5 linked regions of the Mus musculus genome follow. The protein of the gene in region 3 interacts with the protein of the main gene of each other region in a pairwise test. Links are inferred from orthologs where the notes say so. Each region holds a gene or a part of one and is shown on either strand. Other genes may lie near its edges.

Region 1 (3,767 bases), on a different chromosome or scaffold from region 3:
CTTAATAAATAAGTGTGGTCATGCCTGAAACTCTTAAACCACGATGTATTATTTAAATTAATTAAAAGTTCTATGTCTGAATTCGCTTTTAAACCAGTAAAATGACATTCAGGCAGATTCAGGAAACCCTAGATCTTTCCAATATTTCCTGGTTACCGTGTATACCCCTTTACCAAGTTCATTTCAGCAGGGTAACATAATGGACTGACACACAAACAAAGCTGGGCAGATAATTCTCAGTACCTACCCTCTGGACTGTCTGAGAGATGTCAACTCACAAACTCCAGTCCAGGTTCTAGCTCAGGAGACATAAGCATCTTGCTAATTGCCACCCACAGGAAAGAAGGACAATGGATAAAACTTCTCTGCCATGTTAGGAAACTTCACTGTGCCCAGTAATATGCCTCTACTGTCAGTCTAAATGTTAATAATGTCCCTTTATTTCTCCAAAGTGACCTAATTTAAGATGATAGCCCCCCTACCCAGCCACCCTTTATATGTCACCTTGGAAGCCCCAGACAATGCTCCTTCACCACAGCTTTTAAAACCCTATGACAGGGCCCCCTGGAGCCCAAAAATGAAAGTGAGAATACTGGGATTGAACCAAGTTCCCCAACCACAATGAAATAATGGAGGTGAGTCACAATAGCCAATGGTAGCACTTAACCATGAAAAGACAACAGTTTGCTGCTAGTTTTGCAGTGCTTGATATTTATTGCAAAGAATTACATTGCTTTTTTCAAGTACTAGAGAGGATCTGGGCTGAATGCCTGTCCGTTTGCTTTTATTTTAGTAGTCCTTGTCCACATGGACACATCTGTGAGGCTGCTGCAGTTCTGAAAGGAAACGTGCTGTGCAAAACTGATGCATAGGAGAAAAGACATGTCAACATTTTAACTGTCCGGCAGGCACATCAGGTTCCTGTTCTGGTCAGGCAGATGTGGAACCTGGTAGTACGTACAGAACTAACCAGTCGGTAAAGACTGGCTGGCCCCTTCAAGGTTTGGTGAGTAGTCCAAAACAGAGTCTGAATGGGTGGAGTAGCAACTCCATCATCTTCTTGGTCCTTATCTTGAAAAGTGCTTCAGATGAAATTCGGTGAGTGGAGGTGAAATGTCAGGAATCTGCTTCTGGGCAGATGGCGGACTGGCCTGAGTTCCAGTGGATGTCAGCAGCAGGAATGCAGGTGGTCTGACCAGTTCTAATAGGGACCTGGAAAATCGCTGGAACTCCGAACAGAGTTCAGATTAGGATAAGTGCCTGAGGCCAAAGTGAGTTTCAGAGCAAGGTCCAGGCCCAACTCACAGCAGGTAACTGGAACAAAGACAAGTCCTGAAGGGAATGATGGAGCAAACAGACTGGCGGGGAAGAGGATGGCCATGCAAAGGGAGAGATTGAGGCAGCAGGAATGGCGGGTGGGGGGTTGGAATGAAAAGGCGTGAAGGCCCCCACCTCTAGGCCTAAGGGGGCTCCGGCCTAGTGATCTTCCTCCATTTCTTCCTCTTCATCATCATCACCATCATCTTCGTCGTCGGTACCCCAGCCAAAATACTGCTTCATCTCATCAACAAAGGCCTGATAATCACCGAGGACGTAGCTATTTGACTCGATGTAAGGCATCACCCACTCCTCAGCTTCCCCGGAGAGGAGGCTGATCAAGAATGCCACTTTCATGGCATCATTGCAGAAGTGCTCCTCATTCGCAAGCATGTAAGACATGGTCTGCATGATAAACTCAGGGAGCCGACCACTCTCGCCGCTAAACCGTGAGGGGTAGGGCACCGGACAGCTCGGTGGACATACCTGGCGCAGCAGCCTGGCCCGCTCACACACCAACAGTCGCAGCTGCTTCAGGAGCTGGTGGTTCTCCATGCACAGGGCTTGGTGCCTATCCAGAAGCGCGTGCAGAAGCGACAGCAGCTCTTCCACCATGGTTAACTGCTTGGACGGTCTCGGTCTCGGTCTCGGTCTCAGTCTCGGATCGGCTCCACGGAGCTGCACAGAGAGGCTGAGCAGGAAGTGCGGGTCCTCAGAGGAGTGCGGACCCTGGGCAATAAATGGAGGGGTCCCAGCCAGCGGCAGAAACTCCACCCACAGGGTCACTTTACAAACCTGTGCGCTAGCGCAGTGCGGTAAGGAAGGTGTGGCTGGGAAGGGTGCGGGATGGCGTGGGGGCGTGGTCAGGGTGGGACTGGTGGCCAGAGTGGATGTGGCTGAGGAGGAGCAGGGCGTGACCCAGGAGCTTCGCTGCGGGGTCCCGCCAGTTCTTCCACCTGGAAGTAGGAAGGCTGAGGGAGCAAAGCTTGCCACAGTGGAGAACAGATGCTCAGCCCTCAGGGCTGGCCTGCTCCAGCTGAAACTTTTCTGCAGGCAGCCTGTTCATCTAATTCAGTGTTCCTTTGTGGGTCTGTGGCCATCAGCTTCTTTAAAGTGATCCTTTCTTAACACATTTTTTTTTCTTTTTTTACTTTTTATTGGATATTTCTTTATTTACATTTCAAATGGTATCCCCGTTCCCGCCTCCCTCCCCTCAAAACTCCCTATCCCATCCTCCTCTCCCCCTGCTTCTATGAGGGTGTTCCTCCACCCACCCACCCACTCCCATCTCCCCTCCCTCGAATTTCCCTACACTGCGGTCTCCAGCCTTCACAGGACCAAGGGTCTCTCCTCCTTTTGATGCCTGACAAGGCCATCCTCTGCTACATATGCGTCTGGAGCCATGGGTCCCTCCATGTATACTCTTTGGTCGGTGGTTTAGTCCCTGGAAGCTCTGGGGGTGAGGAGTGTCTGGTTGGTTAACACATTTCCTTGCTCATTTAAATCTCACTCGGAGAAATAACGCTGACTCTGTGGGCCACCGTGCAGGAGGTCATTTGGGTTCCAAGTCTAAAAGACTCACAGGTAGACTCACTTTCATTAAATAAATAAATAGTATGCAACAAAAGACTTCTCTTTGACAAGCAATTTTGTTAACAAGATTTGCAAACACCAACCAAAGAGAAAGCACAGGCTGGACCTAGGCCTTCCTGCACACATGTAGCAGATGTGCAGCTTGGTCTTCTTGGAGGTTCCCCAACAACTGGAGCAAGGGCTGTCCCTGTGTCTGCTGCCTGCCTGCTTGAGGACCCAGTTACTCTAAATGGTTTGGCTTGTCTGTCCTCATTTGGAGAGGGTTTGACTTGTTGGGTGTGTGTGTGTGGAGGAGGATGTTATTTTGTGAGGATTTTTATTCTCAAAAGAGAAGAGAAGGTGGAATGGAGGAAAGACCTAGGAGAGGGGACACTGGGAGGAGAGGAGCGGGTTGATATTGAGATGTAAAGTGAAAAAAATAAATAAATTTAATAAAAAAGAAAAAAGAATGTCCTCCCCCCAAAAAAAGATTTATAAAATGTATACAGGGTGTCCACTTGTAAACATCCTATCTTTGATTCTTATCATGTCCTGTTTATGAGTACCTTTGTTCCTGTGTAGTTAAACTACCATGTGCACTGTTAAATAAGCCTGTCTGCCTAGTTTGAATGTGATTAGTTGTTGATAACTAAGTTTCGTTCTGGGTCATCAAGCTGATACACAATGGGTCTGCTTTTAAAAATATATCTCCAAATTCAATCAATTCTGGTCCTATCTGCTACCCTGCTACATCGAATCCCTTAGCTGCCAGCCTTGCCCTTTAGCAGCATGCACTCTGTACAGTAAGTTGCCCAGAACACTTTAAAAGGTGAGTTAGACCCTTTCACTTCCCTGTTCAAGGCCTTCCAATAGTTTTT
Region 2 (4,853 bases), on a different chromosome or scaffold from region 3:
AGTCAGGCAGGGATAGTTTATTGAGCATTCACCCCAGGCCTGATCAATCATGATGTGACTAACACAGGAGCTAGTTGAGACCTGGAGCTAGGATTTTACAGAGCCTTTAAGCCTTGAAATCCACAAATATCTGTGCCAAGTTATTCCACCAATCGGGATTTAGGAATAGGGGATTTCCTTAGGAACATGTCTTTTTTGTATCCTTATCCTGCTCCCATTGGTTGGGGTAGTCAGTCAACTGTGGCTGGGCAACTTGACTTGCCTAATATCCATGTCTTAACTTACCAAGCAGGAAGTCAGTTACCCACGTACATGTCTGTTTCTGCCAAGCAGGATGTCGGTTCCCAGGGAGGAACTTAAACTTTATTCAACTCCCACTCAAAATGAAAGTTTTAATCCAAATGGCTTATTATATTGGTGCAGTTGTCTTTCTTACGTTGGGGTCTATCCCAGGGCAACTTACAAAGACAAGAAACCATAAAAGTTCATATATAGATTCAGGAAGAGCTGCTGGCAGTTCGGGTGCAAGCTTATACAAAGCAGTTCTAACCGACCTCTGCCGGTTTCCCAGAACACCAAAGCGTAGAACATAGCAGAATATGAGATCAACTAGAGCAGGACAAAGTTTCCCTATAACATTAATAACAGCACAAAATGGCTGGCTGGATAGGCAACAGTCACCCAGGCCTTAACAGGGGAGAGTGGACGGAGGGAGAGGGGCAGCAACCAAGATGTGACTAAATTAACTAATGGAAAAAATTATAAGGAAAGACTCTGTTTTACAACAAAGTGCCAGCTAATCAATGTAGGAGTAACGGAAATAGAAAAATATTTGACAGATATCACATATAGAATTCCTTCAGGACTGAAGCTGCCAGAGACAGAAAGAGGTCACCACACTTAAGCACGGCTATCTGACTCCACATCAGGCAGTGTAAGTGCTGATTCTCTGCCAGCTTCAAATGAGACCTTGTGGCTCCAGTAAAAAGAAAATCCAGGAGTCAGAATAGACATGGTGGTTCTTCAGAGTGAAATTACTGGAATTATGTGGGTGCTTAAGAAGAGACAAGAAGCCGGGCTTGGTGGCACATGCCTTTAATCCCAGCACTCGGGAGGCAGAGGCAGGTGGATTTCTGAGTTCGAGGCCAGCCTGGTCTACAGAGTGAGTTCCAGGACAGCCAGGGCTATACAGAGAAACCCTGTCTCGAAAAACAAAAACAAACAAAAAAAGAATGGTTCCCATAGGCTTATGTATTTGAATGCTTAGTCACCAGGGAGTGGAACTGTTTGTAAAGATTAGAAGGATTAGGAGGTGTGGCCTTATAGGAGGAAGTGTGTGTCACTAGGGTGGGCTTTGAGGTTTCAGAAGCCCACGCCAGGCTGTCTCAGTCTGTCCTGTCTCTAGATTAGGGTGTAGCTGTCAGCTACCAAGTACCATGCTTGCTGCCATGATGATAATGGACTAAGCCTCTGAAGCTGTACACCAGCCCCTAGTTAAATGCTTTCTTTTATAAGAGTTGCTTTGGTCATGGCGTCTCTTCATAGCAACAGAACAGTGACTAAGACAGTGGGCTTATACTGGACTATTCCTGAAGCCAATGAAATTCCTGCCTGGTTCTCATGGAGCAGTTTCATAAAAGATTCCAGGATACAGGTGGAAGGGCAGTGACCTCTGAGGTCCTCCCTGTGGGGACATCAATGATCTCCATCTCTTCATGACTAGCCCATCCCTTGGAGTCGCTGTTATCCTCCACCTGCTATTCCCAGGGAGGACCGACCTGTACCCAGGCAGGAGCCCTGGAGAATACAGCCTGTTCTTGTTTCCTGCAGCTCTCCCTGGGCCCCAGCTGCCAGAGCAGTGATTGAAACCTACACTGATGCCGATTCTAAATAAAGACTGCTGGAAACTGGATCCCACTTCAGTCCGAATGGTCTGAATGGCCTTTGATTCAGTTAACTTGTGATTCTTTTTCTGCACCCAACATAGCAAGAATAAAACATGAAATCAAAAGAAAAAAAAAAATCAGGAAGCTTTCACTGACGTATGCTAAAATTAGTAGCTGAAAATATGGTTAAAAGCAAGACTTTTACACAGTCAAGCACCTCCCCAAATGGTGTTTATTATTTACAATAAGAAAATAGAAACCTGGGGGCTGGTGAGATGGCTCAGTGGGTAAGAGCACCCGACTGCTCTTCTAAAGGTCCTGAGTTCAAATCCCAGCAACCACATAGTGGCTCACAACCATCTGTAGTAGGATCTGATGCCCTCTTCTAATGTGTCTGAAGACAGCTGCAGTGTACTTACATATAATAAATAAATAAATCTTAAAAAAAAAAGGAAAGAAAACAGAAACCTTGTTATTTATTTAGATTTTAAGACAGAGTCTCTACATAGCTCTGGCTGTCCTGGAACTATGCAGACCAGGCCGGCCTCGAAATAACAGAAATCCGCCTGCCTCTGCCCCCAAATCCTGGGATTTTAAAGCATGTGCCACCATGCCGAGTAGAAAATAATAACTTTATGTTAGCCCCTTGGCAGCCACCACTTAAACCACTCAAACCTTGGCGACGAAAGTATTCCCCAGTAATGGGGCGTTTGCCTTCTGGGAGGCACGAGCGCGCCATTTTCTTGTTTAAAATGTGTAACTTAATTGTGTAAAATATCGGGCCAAGCCAGGATGACAAGTAGTCTACAAGATAATGGACTAATGAAGTCAGTGAGGGACTGAAGCGCTGTGAAGCGCGTGTGGCTAATCACGAGGTAGGCGTTTGGGAGTCTGAGTCAAAGAAAGCTACAGGGGAGCAAGAACCTGATGCGATGACCGTCCACTCACCGCGTGTGCCAGGACGGTCCCAGCGGAATTAGCTTCGTCTCCCGCGTGCGACCTAGAGCTGCGCCAGCTGGGACCCGGGTCTCCAGGATTCCGAGCGCCAGCACTCTCCCGCCCGAACCTACAGCGCGGGCCACGTTACCATAGCGACTGGAGTCAGTAACCTTGGTCCCGGTGCACCCTGAGCGGCGCTCCGATCCCGCCGGGCAGAAACAGGAGTCTCAACACAAAAGAGTTCCGACCTGTGCGCTGGTACCGAAGGAAGAGACGCTTGGGGTTCCGTGGCCTAGCAGACTCCCTGAGTAGTGCGAGCCAGTGAGCAAGGACCTACACCTACGGGGCCCTGTGCCCTCCCCCAGCTGTCCTGAGGGTCCCCAAGGTGCCCATTCTGGAGTCCCAAAGGGCTAACTTCAGCTTAGCAGGAGGTGCCTGTAGGCGGAGGGACTGGGAGCTCAGGGATGGAACCTGCAAGTCGTGGGTGGGAAGTTATTCTGGGACTCAGGTTTTCCCTTTGTAGACTGCACATGAGACTGTAACAAGGGTGCACATGGCAAGAGTGGGTGGAGGTTGCACCTAGGGCATGTCGCCAGGCGGAGAGGGCTAAGTGAAGAAGTTGATCCTCTTTCAGAGCCCTGGGTAAGGCGCAGTCACAAGAAGTCCATCCACGATTTGGTCTGAAACCCCAAGCATCAAAAGGTGAATGATCCTCCAAGACCCCAGCTTTCATGGAGCGTGTCCTGGACTAAGAAGAGTTGGATGGAATGGGGCTGGTTGCTGGGAAGGGCCTGCATGAGCCCCAGGAATTCGTTGTAGGCTCGCCTTTGTCTTTCTTTAAATCCTTAGGTCATCTGAGGGCCAGGGAGATGGCTCTGTGGATGTGTCAGTCTGATGACCTGATTCACACTCTGGGACCCACAGAATGGAAGGAGAGAACCAATTCCCATGAGTCTTCCCTATCCCCCATATGTTATGGTCTGCACGTTCACACAGTCACAAATAATAAAAAGAATGGTATTCTTATCTCTTTATACTGAAGAAGTTAAACTGTGGCCTGGTCCTGGAACTGGCATACACACCTAAACCAGCATAATTCCTAGGGGATGGGGAGTGTCTGGGAATCCCCTCCTCCAGGAGGGCAGTATCAAGAAGTCTAGTCATTCCTACTTTCCTGTCCTATATCCTGCCGTCTTCCTCTACCCGTCAGTCTCTTTCCCTCAACTTGCTGTCCCCACTTCCTGACAGCAAATGCTTGGTGTTTGAACCTTCCCCCAACCAGCTTGTCTTTGTAGCCTTCTTCTCAGCCAGGGAGTCCCCTGAACTTCTAGGGGCCTTCTGTTCTATTAGAAAGTGAGGTAACCTCAACTGCCAGTTCTTTGCTGTCAAATGTAAAACCCTTGCCTTAATTGAGGGGTCCAAGGGTCAGCCCCATTCCACAAGTATGTTCACACCCCTTGTCTCTGCCTCACTCTGTCACAGGAGCTTCCTGTAGTTGGTCTTTGCTACTTTGTGGTTCTTTTTCCCACCCCTGTTTCACCCCACCATCACCAGATAGGAGAGAAAGAAGGATGGGGGGAGAGAGTGGGATAGAGATTCCTGAATCTAATTTCTTTCCTTGTTTCTACTTTGAGCATAACGACTAACAAAACTGCAACACACACACCACGACCAACATCCACTCCCACTTCTCGGGGCCCTAGCATCTATATATCCTCTGAAAAGTTCCCAGAATTCCAAACATAACACAATCAAAGAAACTTATCTGCAGCTGGCAAAACATGCCTCTGCTAGAGCACGAGGCAAATCATAGTCAGCTGCTGTGGACTGTCTGAAGCAGTCTCATATCCCCACACCTAGGATTAAAATGAAAGCACATTCTTATGATATTTTTGTGTTTTTCAAAGAAACCAGAATTCCAGAATTTTCAAACATGCCACTATAGCTTCCCAAGGTGACAGAGGGAATTGGGCCTCTATGTACATGAAAATGGCTAGGGAAGCAGAGCGTGGTGGCACACGCCTTTAA
Region 3 (4,931 bases):
AGTCCACCATGAAATACAACAAAAGATGTGCACTTGCTTGTAATCCTGGCCCTTGAGAGGTATAAGCAGGAAGTGAAGTCAAGAAGATTAAGAGTTCAAAGTCATCCTTGGCTATATAGGAAGGGCTATACATGGCCAGCCTGAGCTGCATGAGACCTTATCCTAAAGAAAAAGTAGAGAAATAAGACTTGCAGAGTACAGATGTAACATGGAAAGAAGAGCCTAAAGTGATTCGAGGATGCCACAAAACAGGGAATATGGGTGGTCTCTGGGGACTGGAGAGAGAGCTCAGTGGTTAATGTTTTCTGTGAGCAATTCCAGCTTTAGGAGATCCAACACCTTCTTCTAGCTTTCTTGGGCACCTACCTGTACACATGCCCCACCCCCACCGCAATCTAAAGATAAATGTAAATACATAGAGCTAGAGAAATGGCTCAGTGGCTGAGAGGATACTGCTCTTGTAGAAGTCCTGAGTTTGTTTTCCAGGATCTATGTTCGGCAGGTCACCACCACCACCTGGAACGCCAGCTCTAGGAGATCCTATACCCTCTTCTGGCACCTGTACACACGTACACACGTACACACGTACACACACACACACACACAAACACACTAACTAAAAATATATCTTAGCCAGAAATGGTAGTGCATGCCTCTGAGTTCCAGGCTAGCCAGATCTATATAGTAAGTTCCAGGAAATCCACCAGGACTACTAGAGAAACTCTGTCTCAAAAAAGCCTAAAATAGTCAGGCCATGGTGCAAACTTTTAATCCCAGCCTTTCGGTAGTGAGTTCAAGGCCAGCCAAGGCCTTTCATAGCTGTATGTAGTCCAGGACAGCCAGGATTACATAGAGACCATGTATCAAACCACCTTACCAAAACAAAATGAGACAAAAGCAACCGATGGATCTTTAGAGAAAAACATTAAAAAAGTAAAAAATAAATAAGTCAAAATAAGGGGCTGGAGGGATGGCTCAGTGGTTAAGAGCACTGACTGCTCTTCCAGAGGTATTGAGTTCAATTCCCAGCAACCACATGGTGGCTCACAACCATCTGCAATGAGAGCTGATGCCCTCCTCTCATGTGTCTGAAGAGAGCAACAGTGTGCTCACATACATAAATAATTTTTTTTTTTTTTTTGGTTTTTCCAGACAGGGTTTTTCTGTGTAGCCCTGGCTGTCCTGGAACTCACTCTGTAGACCAGGCTGTCCTCGAACTCAGAAATCTGCTTGCCTCTGCCTCCCAAGTGCTGGGATCAAAGGTGTGCGCCACCAATGCCCAGCAAAATAAATAAATCTTTAAAATATATTTTTTTAAAAATCAAAATAAAATAATAATAACAACCTTAAAGAAAAATGGACAAAGAAATGGGTTCTGGATTCTGCCCTCAGACTTCCAAGGCTCTAGCCCTGCCTAAAATCCTGCCAAGTGAAACTAATTTTAGTTCACTACTACCATTATAATAGAACAAATCTTTTTATTTTAGTGGCCTAAAATAAATAAATTCAAAGTACTAGAGGGTTATTCTGGATGACTGAGTTAAAAAAAAAAAAAGACATAAATCAGTTTTAGTAATTATTATTTCAGCTACATTCTGAAGTATTTGAGGGTGAGAGAAAAAGATGTAACTTGTGAAAGGTGCTTTCAAGTAGCACGGGGGGTGGGGGGGAAGGTAGGGCAAGTCAGCAAGAGATTATGTGTTTGAAATTTTCTGTAAGACTATGCAAACTACAGGAGCTGGGATGGGGCTAAGGTGTACAGTAGTTGGTTGCCTGGTGTGCTGGAGGCCCTAATTCCATCCTCAGCATAGTCAATAAATTTTTAAAAAGAGAAAAAAAGAAAAAAGGTTCCGAGCTGGAGATGTAGCCCAGTAGAAGTGGTGGCCTCCACCTGTAATCCTAGCATTTGGAAACTGAAGGCGTTCAGGATGTAGTAGAGTTGCTGACGGATCAAGAATTCAAGGACATCGAGAGTTACTACACTGCTATCTCAAAGGGGAAAAAAAAAGTTTTACACCTTGGAGAAGAATATTGATGAAGGATTGCCCTATCTTTTCAACATAAGCTCTTTCAAACTTCTTGATGTATGCAAGAAAAATCTAAGTAAACACACGGAGAACACTTCTGTAAAAGCCTGTCAGTCACCTAAGGTTTGGACTCTATTACCAACTCTGCTGGGTGCCAAACTAGTTGTGGCGACAGGCCACAGCGGTGGTCCCGACTGCGTGCCCTTCATTGCTAGCAGCAGAGGGTTTTACCTGCAGTTCTCCTTGAACCGGCACTTTCCCTCCAGGAAGAACGGACAGGGCTTCAGGGACTTGTGGGTAGGGTATAGGTAGAGGACTCGGACGCACGCAGAACCATCCTCCGCCTCTTCGGCGCCCACTACCATAGCGTTGTGATACTCCAGCGTGCCCCAAGCGCTGTAGTAGGGGGCATTCACTTTAGCACCGCTCAGTTCCTCCAGATCTGGGTCCTCCTCCTCCTCCTCCAGTGCAGAGGAGGTGGATCCCGGCTGCACCTCGCTCCCAGGGGCCGTCTCCGAGTCATTGCAGGGGGCGCCGGGCGCTTCCACTTCCTCCGCAATGGCCTTCTGGAAAGCCAGGTACTCAGCATCCTCTTGAGCTGGGCTCTCCTGGTCCACTGTAGACAGCAGCTTGCTCTTTCTGACCGACAACAGGCTGGCCTCGGTGAGCTCAATCAGCTCCTTTAGATCGCCCTGCAGCTGACGCAGGTCCGCCTGCTCAGAAGCGTCTAGGCCAGCACCGAGCGCCAGCTCTACCTGCTGCAGCTGGGCCCGGTAGGTCTGCAGGGCAGTCTCTAGGTTGTCCTCGTCCATCCCGACCCAGCAGGCAGGATTCGGAACCTTTACCGCAGACAAAAACAGGAGGAAGAGCAGTAAGAACAACTCAGGGCAACGCCGCCCCCAAAACCGCTAGGGAGCCTGAGGAGGGCCGCGGTTCCGCCGAGGGGGACCTGCACGTCACCCGCCCCGTCCTCTGCGGCCCGCAACCCCACCTCCGGCCGGCGCTCGCAGGCTAGAAGGGCTTCCGCCCTCGCCAGCCAAGCTCACGCGCTAGCCTTCTGCCCTCCGCCGGGCACTTCCGCCGGAGAGCCGAAGCTGCCGGAAGTACCTGCGCGCGGGGGCCGCTGGGATGCGATTCCGCCCGTGCTCCGTCCTTCGCTCCTTGTTCCGTCAGGCACTGTGAGGGGTCAGCGTGAGGTCGGTGGGGTTAGGAACGCGGCGGCGGCGGCGGCGGCGGCGGCGGCTCCTCCTCCAAGATCTGAGCAGGTACGGGTGGGCCTCAGCTGGACTGAGGGGCCGGGGTTCTAAAGTCCTGGAACAGGGGGACGGAAGTGGCTTCAGCTGCTGGTTCCCAGGCTCCGTGGGCCCGGCGGCGGCGGGAAGCCGAAGCCGACCCTCCTCAGGAGCTCTGCCTCTCTGGTCGCTTCCTAGACTTAAGTCGCCGGCCGCGTTTCCTGGTTCTGAGTTGAGGGTTCGGAAAGAGGAGCCTTAGGAAGGCGGAGCAGAGCAGGCCGCCACGGGCTTTTCAGGACTCCGAATTGATGGTGCATTATGAAAGATGACATTAAGTGGGAGTGGCCCAGGTCTAGCACGTGGTCAGCGATGGCATCGGGGGAATCAGGGTCAGGGATTTTAACAGAAGAGGCGGGATGGGGGCGAAGAGTCAGGATCCGCGAGGCTACACATTTGAAAACTAGCAGGAGAGGCGGACCGCTGATGAAGCGGGCAGGGCAGGAGGCCGATGCCCCCGGTACACACATTGACATCTCTCAGGGTGCCAGAACAGGATGTACACGCTGCTTTCGGGATTGTACAAGTACATGTTCCAGAAGGATGAATACTGCATCCTGATCCTGGGCCTGGACAATGCTGGGAAGACGGTAGGTCCCTGCTCTCTCACCAGTTCCCATTCCCTGCCTGATCTAACCCCCGCCCCAAGGCTACAGGTTAGTAGTCACCAGCCTCCTGAAGATCAAGCCACAGGCAGAGGCGTGCATGGCTGCATGGGTGTGAAGGGATAGGTGGGAAGGACACCAGAAAACTACTCTAGCTGCTGCTATCTAACCCCCTCTCTTTTTTTCCTCAGACTTTCCTGGAACAGTCAAAAACACGCTTTAACAAGAACTACAAGGGGATGAGTCTATCCAAAATCACCACTACCGTGGGTCTAAACAGTAAGGGGGCACCTTAGGGATATGATCTTAGGAGGTCCCTTAGAGATGGATGCTGTAAGGTCCACAACCCAGCTGACCAGTGGTCAAAACCCTGTCTTTCTATTCTGTGTTCAAGTTCCCTAGGATTGGTACCAGAATGGTTTGTCCCATCCTGGGGAGAGCTGGAACCTTGTGTGTAAAGGTCAGGAGCTAGCTCTTTCTGTACTCTTTCCAGTTGGCACTGTGGACGTGGGAAAGGCTCGTCTCATGTTTTGGGACTTAGGTGGGCAGGAAGAGCTGCAGTCTTTGTGGGACAAGGTAAGACACATTACCTGTTTGATCCTGTTTTTCTCTAGATGGCCCCTCATAGTCTTTTCTGTGAGAGTTCCACATTTACCCCAAAGATTTTCTAATTTTTTTTTTTAAGTTTTTCTGGTTTTTCGAGACAGGGTTTCTCTGTGTAGCCCTGGCTGTCCTGGAACTCACTCTGTAGACCAGGCTGGCCTTGAACTCAGAAATCTGCCTGCCTCTGCCTCCCAAGTGCTGGGATTAAAGGCGTGTGCCACCACTGCCGGGTTTTAAGTTATTTTTATTGGGGGAGGGGTGCGTGTCACAGCATGCGTGTGGGCGACGGGGCTAATTTGTAGACTGTTTTTCTCACCTTAATGTGGGTTCCAAGGATCAAACTCGGATTATCAGGCTTGTGTAGCAACCACTTTTACCTGCTTATCATACACATGGCTCTGTCTAAA
Region 4 (4,762 bases), on a different chromosome or scaffold from region 3:
GAGGTCGACTGCAGCCATCGCGCCAGCCCTCCTCCCCGCAGCAGTTCCCAACCTCCTTTCACCCATTTTACACTGTAGCCTGAGTACACCATCCACATCCATGTGCCTCAGGCTGGCCAGGCCAGGGAGACCCAAAGAGCAGGGACAGTTCCTGAGTTCTTGACCTCCTCCAGAGTGTCTGTCCCTAGATGATAGCATTAGACAGAGGAGCTGGGCCCAGGCTAGGAGCACAGGGAGTTTCAGCCTCACCTAGACTGTCCATCTCGTCCATACACTTAGCCTCCAGAACGGATTGGGGCTGAGCACAGGAGTAGGTCAGAAAGGTGTGTTCATTGATTGAGAAATGAATGGACAAAGGTCAGAGTGGGCCATGTTAGAGGCCTGGATGAGAGCATTGCTTCTGGGTCCCTGTCACATGCTGCCTGCTTACTTTGCATACAATCCTGTCCTTACAGGCCCCTCCCACACCTCACCTTTTGCCTCCAGAATTGAATACCTCCCTCTGCTCGGTGCCAGGATAGCTTCAGCTCCTCCCACTTCTTTCCCTATTGAACCTCTCCATGACCTAACTCAGTTTCCCTCCCTGCCTCTACTCAGTGCCAGGCAAGAAAAGTGTGTGGGCGGGGAGGAGCTAGAGAGAGAGGGAGAGGGGGGTGGAGGGAGAGAGAAGGCAGAGGGAGAGGGGGGAGGGAGAGAGAGCAAGCTCTGAGCTCCATCTCAACTCGTCCCTCTGCTGCCCGCTGACTGAGCCACCTTCTTCTCTTTGCTAGCTTATACTAGACCTCACCCATGGAACCTTCTCCAAATTGCTACCCGTAAACCTCACTCACCTAGTCTGAAAGACAAATACAGGATGGAGGAGCCCGTAAATGAGTGAGGAAGGAAGCAAAGAGCCCTTTCAAAATGACACATCTTCTGAGAAAGCCTGTCCTGGGCTTACACCCTGACCCCTTTCAGAGCCTTCATGACAGTGTCAAGGACTGTGTGTAATACCAATATTTTATCCAAATGTATTGGCTCTAGTGACATTCCATACTTAGTGGCTGTCCTGGCATTGGGTACCACACGCTACTATGTATGTCCTGAGGTTTCCAGTAACTGTTGACATTTCGTGGAACCTAGAATCCTGAGGTGTGTTTTCTCCATCTGTGCAATGAACTACTGCTTGCTCTGTGAGTTCTCAATTGGATGTGATGCCTAAATGAGAGAGAACGTAGTAGGGAACCCTCCCACAGAAGGGCTGGTGCCCCTCACCTGAGCCGGATGCTGCCAGGGTCCTGCTTCCCAGCTGAGCCCCTCCTGGTCACTGTCAGTGCTGAATGGGCTCATATAAGATTCTTCTATCTTGTCACTCAGGGCCTCCCTCGAAGTCTGCTGAGAACGTAGGAGATTGAGGTTGGGGACTGTAGGGCTGCAGACAGCCAGTTTCATCAAAGGCTGTGTCCTGAACTGGGACCCAGGAGCACCTACCTGTAGCTCTGGTTGGCTGGGTTCCAGTTGACAGTCTGAGACAGAGGACCTAGGGTCCCTGTGCACATGGAAGGCCACACTGTAAGCCAGGCCCCCACAGTGGCGGGCTGTGGGGTCCTCGCTGGCTCGGAGAAGAGCCAGGTTGCCACAATAGCGGTACAGGTCTTCATGATCCTGTGCTGTGAGGTTCATTCGGGGCTCATCTGGTCGTGGGTAAATGGGGAAGATGGCCTCACCTACCCTCTGAGCCTCCTGTCCTGAGGATCCATCCAGCCTCAGAGCCTCCACACGCAGATGTGCATCACTCTGCCCATCATTCTTACAGAACCCTGGGTGGAGAACATGGCTTTAAATGTGGTCTTTAGGATCTCCCTCCCTTCTCCAAGGGGTGAGAAGGACATCCAGGGCCCTGGGGCAACTTGAACTGAATCCAAGTGAGCTCGGCTAAGAATTCCCTTGTGGCTGACTCCTCTCAGCCCTCACTCAAGACTCCTTTGGTTTACCTATGCCTCATGTGACCCCACCAGAGTGAGGAGGCCTATAGCCCATGGAATTGTTCTGGGTTCTGACACCAGGGAAGAGTTTGGCTAACCTTAGCCTGGGATATACACCAGGACTGTTGTCTGGTAAGTCCTCTGTCTAAGCCTGGATCTTCTAGATTACTTAGCTAGTTTTGACTTAAAATTCCTGCCTCTTTGTACCCAGTCTGGAAGCTCCCAGAAAGTAAGACCAGGATCTTCTATCCATTCATGTCTGTCCAGTCTCTATCCCTACAATCAGAAGGAACTCAGGGGGCTTCTAGCATCACTTCATCCATGTACCGTTCACTGCCTAGGTCTAAACATGCTGTGGGCTTTGTCTCTATCAAATTCACATCCCCCTTTAGTTCCTCTTCACCTTTGCCCTCTATGAGAACAGTTTCAGCATCCATGCCACGCTGAAGGAAGCAGGAACCTTACAGGACCAGCGTTTGCCCAAGGCCACATAGTCACACAGGCAGAGCTTAGAATTAAGGCTGGAGCTCTGCCTCTGGCTGTCCAGGTCCCTTGCAGTCCCCCAGGGTCCTGATCAGCTCTAGGGCAGAAGTCCCAAAGATCCTGCTTCCCCCCCAACCCTTGACTTCACTTTGTACCTTTGGGCAGAGTGAAGATAAATTTGTTCCTGGTGAAGGTGAGGCTCTGGCCAGGATCCTGCTGCTCAATGACCTCAGTGACAGCTGAGCAGGCTGGAAGGGGGTCCCCATCATTGACTTGCAACTGCACCCCAGCACTGGAGCCTGCCTGCAGTGGGTTTTCAGCTGACAGCCTCAGGGCGTACCGGCCCTCCTCATTAAATCCCACACTCAAGATCTCAAACTCCAGGTCCAGTGTCTTCTCTCCAGCCTTCAGTCGCTGGCTCAGCAGGGATGCAGGGAGGTAGGGATCAGGACCTCTAAAGGCCATGGCTTCAGCCAGGGTCAGAACTCCAGGCTGAGCCCTGCCCTCTCCTGCTCACAGTCCCATCCTGGGTCCAGTCGGAAAGAAGACAGATTAGGCACTTGGGGCCACACCTCACCCTTCTCTGTTTGTTTGAGAAGGATCCAGGCAACAAGCCAGGAAACTGAGCCTGAACTGGGGAACAAAGGCATCAATTAATTCTTCCCATTTAGCATTTGATCTCTCAGTAAATATTTATTGAGAACCTACTGTATATGAGGTGCTGTCTTGGGCATTTTGAATATAGCAGTGAAATAGACACATTCCTGCCCTCCTGAAGCCTGTCTTCTAGTGAAGGTAATGGGTAGAGAAGACAAAGATAAACAAGAAATATGGAAAATGAATGATCAGGGCTGGGACTCGGTCAGTAATGTACTTGATGCACAAGCATGAGAACCTGAGTTTGATTCCCAGGACCCATGGAAACTAGGAATGGTTGTGTATGCTATGCTTATCATTTTAGTCCTGGGAAGGCCCAGGCAGGAAGTCCATCTAGGAGAATCAGTAAGTTCCTGTCTTAAAAAAAGTAAGAGTCCTGAGGAATAACATCTGAGGTTGACCTCTGGTATCTACATGCACACACACACACATGTACCTGTACATACAAACACACACATGTGTATGTGTGCACACAAACACACATACATAAACATGCACACAGGTGTACCTGTACACACAAACACACACACACAAGCATGCACACATGTGTACCTGTACACACAAACATACACACAGATACAAACACATACACATGTGTACTTGTACACACATTTGTACTCATAACATATATAAATCCTTAAACCATACACACAGCATGTATGCATGCATGCACACACACACACAAACACATACACACACAACCAAATTCTCAAGTGTGCTAAGAGATGATCTACTTCATACATTCTATAGAAAATTGGGGGCACATGAGTATGTGGTATTCAGAACTCTCCATTTCTGGGGAACCTGTCTCTACCTGGGAGTCCTTAGTATGGATATGGGAGAGGTCTCCAGGGTAAGGGAATATATGGTCCATGTCTGCTTCTGCAACCAGCTTACCTTATACAAGACATACAGCTTTACAGAGAACTTGGCCTCTCAAAGCTAGGTTGTCAGTCTAGAGTCTGTGCTTCTTTGTCCTGGGTTTCAATGGAAATCAGAGGATCCTAGACACTATTCAAAAGAGACTAAGTCTGCTGCCACTACTATCACCACCACGCCGCCACCATCACTACCTACTGTGTCCAGCACAGTCTTGGGAAGTACAGGAAAGAAGAATAATGGTAGAAAGAGACACAAGACTCTGGGTTCCCTTTAAGAATGAACAAATTTTATTTTCCCACTGCTGTTTATATATTATCTAGCTACTAGAGATGGCATTACAAGCAGAACTTGAGCAAGTCTCTTTTATATATATATATATGTGTGTGTGTGTGTGTGTGTGTGTGTGTGTATACACACATGTATATATGTATATGTTTGTATATATAATCTATTTATTTCTATTTTATGTACATTGATTTATTTCTATTTTGTGTGCATTGTTTTTCTCCTGCATGAATATCTGTATGAGGGGTCAGATCCTCTGGAACCGGAATTGCAGACAATTGTGAGCTGCCGTGTGGGTGCTGAGAACTGAACCCTGGCCCTTTGGAAGAACAGCCAGTGCTCTTAACCACTGAATCATCTCTCCAGCCCCAAGCATGGTCTCTTTGACCTCCTTATCTGAGTTCTTTCTTTTGCCCTTCCTTGAATTTGTGGCCTAATTTTTCTCCTGCTGGGGGACATTTGCACTGGCTTTATCTCCTGCCTGCTGTTTT
Region 5 (4,907 bases), on a different chromosome or scaffold from region 3:
AGGAAGGAAAAGTGCTTTAAACAGCACTTTAGTCAACACTGACAATTATTAAGAACAATGTTTTCTTGCTCACATGCAAGCTGTGGCTTTTAAGATGGAACTAAAAACATTTAATAAGATAATACATGTAATAATGCCTGGAATATCTGAAATGTACCAACAAACACTGGTTACTACTGATGTTTCAGTTTAAATTGTACTTGGAATAATAATAGGCACTAATATACTGCTAGTAAGTATGGAAACTAGTCATCTACTCTAGATATTTTATATAAACTACTTTTTTTCTGACAGTCTCACTTTGGGAACTTCTAAGCATGTGCATTAACGTGCATACATAAGGATACTCATACTTTCATCTACAGAAAATTCGAGGAAAGCACTTAACACCAATGAGCAAGACAAGAGACAACTACTGTACTACACAGCCAATGGGACCCAAATCCCAAGAGCTCACTGATATTACATTTTGTATTTAGGAATAAGTATGGACTCCAAAGATGGAAATAATGATTTGTAGTAGCTTACTGCTTTTTTCTTTATACATTTATGTGTGAAAATTTCTTGCCCTTTGCATCTTATCATCTTATTATTTAATTTCAGCTACCACGGGATTGTAGTGAAACACATAATTACAAATTCTTATCAGGAATATTAAGAACCATTAGGATAAAAATGTCCTTCCCAGATTTCTTGGGAGCTGGTGAGATGGCTCAGACTGAAAAACTGGGTTGACCCCTGAGGCCATCATGGTCAAGAGGAGGTAACTGACTCCGTGGTTTCTTCTCCTGGCCGCCCCTCCACCCCCACCCCCACCCACACGTGCTGGAATGGAGACAGCAAGGTCTGGTGACAGCTGGGGTGACAAAATGAACAAGCCTATGCTGTCAAATACACTAAACAAGAGCAAAGAGGGGGAGGGAGGGAAGCAAAGAGTCCCTGGCAGTCAAAAGTGCCTTCAAATCAAGTAAGGAAAAAAAAAAAAATACCAAGCACAAATACTGTATTGCTAAAGAAAACCAGTTCTATAAGAAAAGGTACTCAAAAAACTTAGGAAACTGCAAAAACTGCCTTGCAGAATCTCTAGAAATCAAGGACTCTCCTGTACTTAGTGACAAATATGAAATATTCAGAGGAAACATGAAGCTACCCGCGATATACGCAAAGTCCATTTTGCCAATGTTGTATGTTTTGCAAGAGAAATGACCATAATCACTGTAATGTGGAGCCCCAATTGCAATAAAAGCATTGAGTCGTGAACATACACACAAAAAAACTCTGCTTGCACAAACTCAGTGTTCATCCCAATGTGACCTCTATAAGGAGAGAAATTAGTTGCATCTTAGCCAAATGTGACATTAACTTTAACTTCACAGAAGTTCCCCACTTTATCAATCCAATATAAATGCCATTTATGACAGGTTGTGATGCCTAACTACAGTACTAAGTTTCCTGTTGAGAAAAGGAGAATTCTACATACCACTATAATCTATGGAAAAAGCTCACTGCAACTTTGCTCTCCCTTGGAGAATATTCATGAGCTGTTTCTACCTAAGAACTGATGGAGCTCAATTACTAACATTTGGAATGTTTGCTTGAGAGAACAGCTGTCTTGGGATGTTTTATTATTACAATGCTTAGTGTTATAAGCTTTAAAAAAAAAAACCTACACAATCAAAACATAACAAACCTGCTTTCCGTATTCAATATTTCAACCTAAGGAGAGCGACAGAACGCATCCTATCCTGACCTATTCTCACACTGGTAGTTAGAAATCAATCCCAAAGGACTTTCCGTTAACAAAAACTCAAGAGACCACACATCTGACTTGACAGCGAGTCGGTGTCACAAGACATAAGAAAATGATAAAATCCTACAACTGTTTTGGACATTTGGACTTCCGTGGATATATTTTTTAATTAACCCAACAGATCCCTGTACTGCCGAAGCATAAACATACAACTAATTAAAATGGGAGGGTAGGAATATAAACAAAAGTACATTTTAAGTATGAACTGTGAAAGAAAAGACTGGAAAATGATAATACAACTGCTTACTTGCTAAATGCCCTGTCTTTGCGAAAAGTCTAAGAAAAGGAACTAAAATGCCAGACCAGGAATCGGTGTAAGCCTTTCTCAATCTGCACGTGGGTGTTGTTTGTTCAAACACGCTTAAGATCACTTTTTTGAAAAGTGCGTCCAAAGTGGGGAGGAGATAGAAATAACTTCCAGAGCGGAGGGGGAAATACGTGTTTTCACAGGCCTACCCCAGTGATGCTACTTAAAAGCAAAGCCGGCTTTTAAGCAAAGCAGGAAATAAAGGAGATGGCGGGAGGGCAGGCAGAGGGCGGAAGTTGGCAACGGCCTCTCCTGAAGTGCCTCAATGGAAGAAGGCCCTTCGTCTCCCGCCAAACAGTGCGCCCCGAGGTCGGCTCGCCTCTATCCTCCCCCAAAACAGACAGCGCCCGCCGCCGCCCACGGGGGCAGTGCCCTTGGCCATCCGGTTCCGGCTGCGGGCCTCACGCGAGCACCGAGGCCTCGCGGCCCGCTCCGCACGCCCGCCGTTCCGCGGCCTCGTGGCCGCCACAGGCCGCTCGCCCCGGCCGCACACACTCGGCACGCGCCCCAGCCGGCCGACGGCAGACAAAGGCTCGGCAGCCGGGCCTGCTCCCCGCCACCATCCAACAAAGCCCGAGCCGCGACTGCGCGCCCCGGCCTGGCTTACCCATCGGTCCCCGCACGCTTCTTGCCGGAGGGGTAATCCTCCCCCAGGTCCAACCGATGCCTCTTGGACATCCTCGCACTCCCAGAAGCGGACGCTTAGGAAGGAGGGAAGAAGAGAGACTCCGGCAGCCGGATCCACGCACAAGAGGCCCGCGGCTCAACTCGCGGGGACCCCCACCCCTCCCGCCACCACAGCCCGCTCCGTGCGGCCCGAACCAGGAGCTAAAATGGCGGCCGCGACGAGGGCAGGGCCTGCGTGCGCGCCTCCGCGGCGGGCGTGCCGGCGTGGTGCGCGCGCACGCCGTCCGGAGGCGGGAACTCCCGTCCCGCCCGCTGTGCGATTGGCTGAAATGGCTCTGAGTTCCCGCGGGCTCCTCCCTTTCCCCTCGCGTCTCTCTGAGAGCTGATCTGAGCTGCTGCTAAGGACCGAAACGCGCCTCAAGCTGTCACTTGCCGCCTGGAGTTCGTTGGGAAAGTTGAAAAAGCCTAGTCCTGTTTAGGAAATCTATCCAGCTGTGTATATACTTTTTGCTTTTAGGGTATGAAGCTCAGGAAGGATAAGAAAAACAAGATCACACAGCTGGCAAGTGGCAAAGCAGGACACAATTTATAACTCCAGAACGAGAATTTGCAGTTGTTGCGCCAGATGCCCTGTAGCGGTGAGAAAAAATGTTAACTTTAATTACTGTGACTCGTTTTGTCCATTCACCCCAGAACAGATAACATCTATTTGTTCAAGGTATAGGTGTTTTGTATAGGGTTCAGAAAATTGGAGGTAATCGCACTGGGCACTGTATTTTGCCTCCAATCCTCTGCCCTAATCTTGCTCCGTTTGTGTGTATATGAGTGCATATTAGGCACTCAGAGACATTAGCCCTATCTCTGTCCTCGTTTGGTTTGGTTTGGTTTGGTTTTTTGAGACAGGGTTTCTCTGTGTGGCTCTGGCTGTCCACAAACAAGCTCTGTAGAAGAGGCTAGCCTGGAATTCAGAGGTTAGGCTGTCTCTGCCTCCCAGTGCTGGGACTAAAGGCGTGCCCCAGCATGCCTAGTTGCTGTGCTCCTTAGTAGAGTGAACCCTGAAAGACATTTTATAGACATGGTTACCTGGACTGAAGGAAATCAACAAATAGCTCATCCATTAAGACTCCACTGTAATGGCAAGTTGTTGAGGCAAGGTGACACTTAAGAGGTTGTGTATCTTTCTCCCTTCAGCCATTGTGCATACTCAATTACATTCATTTCCAGAAGTGTGGGCGAAAGAGGTCTAAGGATCAGCCCAAATACAGGGTATCACTTCATGTCAAGACTCTCCTTTGCTGCTCCTTGGCTCTAGTCCCTCGAAAATTCTCAGAAGGATAATCTCTAAGATTAAATACAACAGAAACACAACAGATGATATTGTAACTTTCACAATATCCAACACAACTGTCTAAATGTACATTGACAACCTGTTAGGCTAGATATGGTAGTGAGTACCTTTAATCCCAGCACTCCTGAGGGCAGAGCCAAGCAGATTTCTATGAGTTCAGAGTCAGTTTGTTTTACGTAGTGAGTTCCAGGACAGCCAGAACTATATAGTGACTCTCTCTGTCTTTCTCCCTCCCTCACTCCTTCCCTCTCCCCCCTCCTCCCCCCCCCCCCACATGCACTCGAGCGCACACACACACACACACACACACACACACGAGCCACTGAAAAGTCCTGTGAGCATCTTTCAGGTACCTACATTACTGAAGAATTCCACCCCTGTCAGTTGTATTCCTTGTTATAGTTCCTAGACAGGAGGGTCCTCTTGAAGTTCTTGTGCAGAGTCTTGAGCCTTGTAAACCCCCATGATCATCCTCTTCCCTCCAAAATGTGTATTAATGGGTCATTCCTGTGATGAGCTCATGCAAGTTACCTCTCCGATATAGGCTAATGAGGATGTGATGGTTTTTATATGCTTGGCTTGGGGAGTGGTTTAGAAGGTGTGGCCCTGTTGGAGTCGGTGTGTCACTGTGGGTGTGGGTGTTAAGACCCTCATCCCAGCTGCCTGAAAGCCAGTAGTCTGCTAGCAGCCTTCAAATGAGGATATAGAACTCTTAGCTCCTCTTGCCCCATGCCTGCCTGGATGCTGCCATGTTCCCGCCTTGATGATAATTGACTGAACCTCTGAACCTGTAAGCCAGCCCCAGTTAAATGTTG

The links. The genes of interacting proteins can lie anywhere in the genome.
Region 1: the proteins of Zgpat (region 3) and Ldoc1 interact in binary tests that used the Homo sapiens proteins (3 or more experiments, as listed by UniProt). The two-hybrid records come from large-scale screens. The link is inferred for Mus musculus from reciprocal best matches to the Homo sapiens genes ZGPAT and LDOC1.
Region 2: the proteins of Zgpat (region 3) and Ccdc57 interact in binary tests that used the Homo sapiens proteins (3 or more experiments, as listed by UniProt). The two-hybrid records come from large-scale screens. The link is inferred for Mus musculus from reciprocal best matches to the Homo sapiens genes ZGPAT and CCDC57.
Region 4: the proteins of Zgpat (region 3) and Ccdc33 interact in a two-hybrid assay, tested with the Homo sapiens proteins (2 studies listed by BioGRID). The two-hybrid records come from large-scale screens. The link is inferred for Mus musculus from reciprocal best matches to the Homo sapiens genes ZGPAT and CCDC33.
Region 5: the proteins of Zgpat (region 3) and Dhx15 interact in binary tests that used the Homo sapiens proteins (3 or more experiments, as listed by UniProt). The two-hybrid records come from large-scale screens. The link is inferred for Mus musculus from reciprocal best matches to the Homo sapiens genes ZGPAT and DHX15.

The regions. Positions count from the first base shown.
Region 1 is NC_000086.7:61,707,875-61,711,641, reverse strand, and holds Ldoc1 (protein LDOC1), read right to left. Parts: upstream 2,032-3,767; 5' UTR 1,933-2,031; coding exon 1,477-1,932; 3' UTR 692-1,476; downstream 1-691. UniProt on the Homo sapiens protein: May have an important role in the development and/or progression of some cancers.
Region 2 is NC_000077.6:120,929,882-120,934,734, forward strand, and holds the start of Ccdc57 (coiled-coil domain-containing protein 57), read right to left. Parts: upstream 2,992-4,853; 5' UTR 2,835-2,991; intron 1-2,834. UniProt on the Homo sapiens protein: Pleiotropic regulator of centriole duplication, mitosis, and ciliogenesis. Critical interface between centrosome and microtubule-mediated cellular processes. Centriole duplication protein required for recruitment of CEP63, CEP152, and PLK4 to the centrosome.
Region 3 is NC_000068.7:181,363,580-181,368,510, reverse strand, and holds the start of Zgpat (zinc finger CCCH-type with G patch domain-containing protein), read right to left. Parts: upstream 3,089-4,931; 5' UTR 2,840-3,088; coding exon 2,259-2,839; intron 1-2,258. Other genes in the region: Arfrp1 (ADP-ribosylation factor-related protein 1), read left to right, coding at 3,814-3,906, 4,113-4,200, 4,415-4,497. UniProt on the Homo sapiens protein: Transcription repressor that specifically binds the 5'-GGAG[GA]A[GA]A-3' consensus sequence. Represses transcription by recruiting the chromatin multiprotein complex NuRD to target promoters.
Region 4 is NC_000075.6:58,115,833-58,120,594, forward strand, and holds the start of Ccdc33 (coiled-coil domain-containing protein 33), read right to left. Parts: upstream 2,992-4,762; 5' UTR 2,913-2,991; coding exon 2,603-2,912; intron 1,800-2,602; coding exon 1,471-1,799; intron 1,375-1,470; coding exon of another isoform or gene 1,372-1,374; coding exon 1,255-1,371; intron 1-1,254.
Region 5 is NC_000071.6:52,187,556-52,192,462, forward strand, and holds the start of Dhx15 (pre-mRNA-splicing factor ATP-dependent RNA helicase DHX15), read right to left. Parts: upstream 2,992-4,907; 5' UTR 2,796-2,991; coding exon 2,725-2,795; intron 1-2,724.